Saccharomyces cerevisiae S288C: one gene and its partner. The gene in region 1 interacts genetically with each later gene. Each region holds a gene or a part of one and is shown in the gene's direction. Other genes may lie near its edges.

The links. A genetic interaction does not mean that the proteins touch.
Region 2: mutations in CUE4 (region 1) and PAU8 together harm fitness more than expected from each alone (negative genetic interaction), as found in Saccharomyces cerevisiae (one large-scale study listed by BioGRID).

What each region holds. Positions count from the first base shown.
Region 1 is NC_001145.3:69,154-71,948, reverse strand, and holds CUE4 (Cue4p), read left to right. Parts: upstream 1-1,860; coding exon 1,861-2,214; downstream 2,215-2,795. Other genes in the region: TSL1 (trehalose 6-phosphate synthase/phosphatase complex subunit), read right to left, coding at 1-1,325; YML100W-A (uncharacterized protein), read right to left, coding at 1,638-1,811; CAC2 (Cac2p), read right to left, coding at 2,249-2,795.
Region 2 is NC_001133.9:1,226-3,739, reverse strand, and holds PAU8 (seripauperin PAU8), read left to right. Parts: upstream 1-1,570; coding exon 1,571-1,933; downstream 1,934-2,514. Other genes in the region: YAL067W-A (uncharacterized protein), read right to left, coding at 1,033-1,260.

The sequences.
Region 1 (2,795 bases):
TTCGGATTGTCTGGAATCTGGTAATGCAGCGTAGGCCACAAGATTTGTTTACAGTAGTTTTTGTATGCGGCTTTGAAGGTGTCGTCGTCCGTAAGGACAGGATAGGAGTCGTACTTGTCTTTTAAAGAGTCAGAGATGTTCGCAAGGATATTTTCCGGAATCTCATCCGTTGGGATTCCGACGGTACCGACCCACTTAACATGACGGTGCGGAATGATATTCTCCAAGACTGCAGTGTTTATGGCGTTCTTCATGGCGCCATTACCTTTGATAGAGGGAACGATCGACCATGGAAGACGGCTAAACAGCTCCTGAGATGACCTTAACAGCGCATATTTCTTAAGTTTAGATTTATTGGAATAGCCGCCGAACTTTGGAACCTTGTAGTCCTGCTTCGCGTCATCCATTTCCAAATCAGAAACATATTCCTCGTCAGGGGCAGTAGTTAGATCATCCGGGTCCGACTCATTATGCTGCGAAGACGTCTCACTCGACGAAATATCTGCTAACTCCGAATATTTCAGATTAGAAGGCTGTTTAGCCAATAAGGGACGCTGTTTTGCAGCAGACGCAGTCAAGTGGGGCGTAATCCTTTTAATGGAAGGTGGCGCAGAAGACCCAGAAGATCCAGAGGAGGCCGAACCTTGTTTGGTCCTATTAACTAAAGAAGTAGCCGCCGAAGTAGGCCTGTTGCCCGCCCTCGATTTCGGGGTAACAATGTGGTTGTTGGGTCCTTCTAGGCTAGTTTGTGAGGTGTTGTTCAACAGTGAGTGCACTAACAATGACTTGTTGACGTTCTTTAATAAGTTGGTCGTGGGGTCCTGCTGTTGCTGTTGGATTGGCGAAGCAATTCTCGAACCGGAGTCATGCTCATGCTGGATTGGCGATGCGATGCGATCCGTGGGAATATTGGAAGAAGGGGAGAAGAATCGTTCCACGGAACCATTTTTCCGGGGTTTAAGCATAGTCTTGCTTGTTGGCGTATGTGAGGTAGTTGCATTCGCAGTCAAGTTTTCCATGAATATGTCCGAAGAGACAAGATCATCTAAAGTGGCAGTATTTGTCGTAGACGAGGCGCGGTTGAAAGCACTGGGTGACCTGGTGGCACTCCTTGAGATTGCTGGGGGGACACCTTGTTCTGGTGCTGGCGCGACCAATGATTCCTGTGAGATGTTGTTAGAAAGCGCACGTTGTTGCTGTTGGTCATTGGCCATAGCCTGGATGTTCACGAGAGATGAGTCCACCTGCGAGTTCTCAGGGAGAGAGGTGTCAAGCTCGAATTGTGGTTGGTAGGGCAAAAACAAAGATGCCACGATGAGAGCCATTGTGTTGATCTTGCGTTGCTATTGTATTCTTTGCTTTGTTTGGTTTTTTAATCGACGGGTGGGTGGATGTGCAATGACACGGTAGATCCTTATATTTATAGTTACATTAGTATTTATATTTAAGCTTGGCTAGACGGGGGCCCCAGGGTGAGTGTGCTAGCCCCTTGGTTCTACCCCCTTCTCCTTCCCTAGGTAACTGACACCATAGCCGCTGCCCGGACCCCCGCCCCTTCCTATCTCCCTTCGGCGAGGGCGCCAGGCCCGCCAGCCGGACTTAGACACTTTCGAGCAAGCAATCCCAAATACGCCATATCAAAATGCAGGGGCGGGGTGACCCGCTTTTCTCGAAATTTCTATCTGGCCCTCTGTTTCGCCCCTTTTACCCTGAACGCGATTTTTGAGCGAGACGAGAAGAGCAGAAATTTCGCAATAAGTTACTACAATGGTGCCCGCTTTAGAATAATAACTCGGGACACATTTATACATTCCCACACACACAGACGAGGCACGGCTACCCACGCGCACAAAAGTAAAAATGGATGGATCGACTATAGTGTTTATACTGACGATGGTGTGCTTGTTTGTTTACACCGTGAAACACAGGGGCGCCAAGCAAGTACCCTCGCGAACCGTACAGGATGCCAAACCGGCGCCCTCGGTCGCCACCAACGACCCTTCTCCGGAGCCAGTACCATCGGCTCCGGAGGAACGCGTTGCTCGGTTAAACAGACATGGTAGTGATCGAAAGAGAGCCGTTAATAGTGACATGGTTGAAATCGTGATGACGATGGCGCCACATGTGCCTCAGGAAAAAGTCGTGCAAGATCTCAGGAACACAGGGTCCATTGAGCACACAATGGAAAATATCTTCGCTGGCAAACTAGATTAGGCATTCTTATGTACCGCATTAAATATATTAAAAATCACAAATCGACTGGCGTAGGATGTATGCGCCTCTTTTTACTATCGCTACTATTGCAGGGGATCTTCTTCACCGGCAGCATGTTCACGATCCCACCTGCCTCGCGCTGGTTCTTAGCCGCTACCGCGCTCTCGTCAGTGTCTAGTGGCTCTGCATGCATCGCTGGCGGCTCTATCCTTGAACCGAATTGCGTTTCTGTGTCGATCGATACATACGAACAGAATCCGTCTGTTGATGAGATTAGTAGGGTCGAGCCATCCTCAGACCATGCTAAATCAGTTATGGGTGAGTAATGTATATTTCCCACAACGCATAACGGCTCCAATACATCCGTGTCGTACACGAGTACTTCGTTAGTCGTTGCTATGGCAAATACTAGCTTATAGGGCAGCTTAAGCACACTCTTCTGGCACGTTTCGTAAAATACGGGCGAGAAAGCCGCCATCAGCGCTGGTTTCTTCAAAGATGGGATTCTAATCGCAGGCCGGTTTTTAACGCCACCAGCGCTGTTCAGTATTCCAGATCTAGTATACACGTATACGCAGTTC
Region 2 (2,514 bases), on another chromosome or scaffold:
TTTTGTCCTCTTTTTCGAGCCAATATTTTTACCTGTCATTCATGTATTTTTCTCATAAGCTTTCGAAACAACTCCCTGTATTTACAAAGAAATTACTAAAAAAACATCAGATACGGGCACCAATGATCGGAAAGTTGTTTCAACAAACCTAATTTTGTACTTGTATACAAATATAGTCTGGGATAGTAGGTACTTTATCAATGCAACAGATTGTCAATAAGCGTCCAAAACAATTCTTCTTCAACCATTCTCTTTGAAAAAAGACGAAACTGCTAAGTTTAAGTCATTTCAGGATTTTGCCCCTTGCATAAAAGAGGCATTTGAAGTTTCTTTGAAAAAAGATGTATGATGCTGGGGAGGTATGGAAACCCGTTGACATGGGAGATTCTAAATTTTTTAAGGAAGCTCTTCAATGAAGGTTTACTTTGGTTCTCAAGAGAATTTTCACTGTTTACTGTTTCCCTCCATGCTTTCCTTTTTGATCTAAAGCTACTGTCATGCAATTATCAACCCCTATTTCGTATCTTATATCTTGAAAGCTTCTTTATGAAGAAAATAATAATTTTTTAACATCCAAGAATTTTATCTACGAGAATGGGACACAAATACAATTCTTATCAATCATTATAAATGAGCAAGAAAAATTTGGCAGTCTAGGAATGAAATCGGAAGGGAAATGAACGGCTACTTTTTCGGGAAGATTGTTTGGAAAACGAAGAGTTGTTCTTTGATGAATGCGATTTCCAAGCGTTCTTTGTGCGGAACTTTAATAACCTTTTAAGAATCCAAGGATTAAGAAAAATCCCACTTAGAAAGAAGAGTAGCCGAACGTTCTTACTCTCATATCCCTACTTAGGTTCAGTTAGCCGTACATATCAAACTACAATAATACTGCCCTGCTAAATTAGCGGTACCCTCTTTTAAATATGTATCTGTTTGATATCAACTTGTCTCATTACCATCCGCTTCTCAGCGGCTAAAATTACGTAATTGCACCAAGGCATTTGCCGAGAGTTCACAAGTTTACAGACCCTAACAGTATACGACTCCCAACACACGTTTAATGTTGTACGAATTCAAGAGATGGAAATATTTCCTCCGCGGAAGCCGTTTAAAGCAGACTGAATTCAGGCTTAGACAATAAGCTTCTGTACGAGGGTCCAAATCTAAAATTCGGATATTCTTTTTGACCGAAAAAGGAAATGTCACAGGCACAGAAAAGGGTTTTATAAGGCACCTCGGCACCCCTATAATTGGCATTCCCACATTCTGCGCATACGAATACACATAAGCGCCATAAAACAGTACTCCACATACGAAACCTATGAAAGATTTATGATTCGTTCAGAAACAAGAGCATCTCCATAGAGATAATGAGATTGTGTGAAAGATGAGATATAGAGAATATTTGATGAGGAACTGGTGCCAGTCAGCGATCGTTTAAATAGCAACAACCCATGAGGGAATGGGTATAAATAGAGCTGCTTCAACTATATGCCTTTGAGAATATGTCTTTATTCTTTCCTTTCCTGTTAAGCTTATATCAGCACTAACAAACAAAACAAATACAATGGTCAAATTAACTTCAATCGCCGCTGGTGTCGCTGCCATCGCTGCTACTGCTTCTGCAACCACCACTCTAGCTCAATCTGACGAAAGAGTCAACTTGGTGGAATTGGGTGTCTACGTCTCTGATATCAGAGCTCACTTAGCCCAATACTACATGTTCCAAGCCGCCCACCCAACTGAAACCTACCCAGTCGAAGTTGCTGAAGCCGTTTTCAACTACGGTGACTTCACCACCATGTTGACCGGTATTGCTCCAGACCAAGTGACCAGAATGATCACCGGTGTTCCATGGTACTCCAGCAGATTAAAGCCAGCCATCTCCAGTGCTCTATCCAAGGACGGTATCTACACTATCGCAAACTAGAGACAAACGCCAATTTTACGAACGGGTTTCCATAGAAATTGAAAATTAACGAACAAAATAAAATAAAAAAACTACTTTTTTTTGATGATATAAATACCGTAGATTATATAAATGTATATTAATATTATAGACCTATTTGATCAATGACGGTGTTCGTGAAGCATTTTATGAATACGATGAACATAAGAAAGAAACTTCTACACTATTGTAGAAAAAACGTGGACGGTAATAAAGCTAACAGTGTATGTCCAATAAACAACAATGAAATTGGAAATGTGCGGCTTCGCAACCTTTGTCCTTAAATAAAAATGAGTCGCTGCTTCGTTTTTCATTTTTTGGCGCGTCGCGTCGGGCCGTATAGAATATGCGTCACTTCTAAGAACAAGATTGCAGATCAGGGCAGTGCGAGTTACAAGTCATGGTACCAAACTCTCATTTAGAGACCCTCATTTTTTGACACGTAAAATATCAAGATTTCTGGGTTGGCATAGTTTTTTGTGTAACTGTAACTAGAAATAAAGCTGAGGGGTTAGTGTTCTATCAGCAATAAGATAGAGGGTGGTAAGATGAAGTGAGACAAT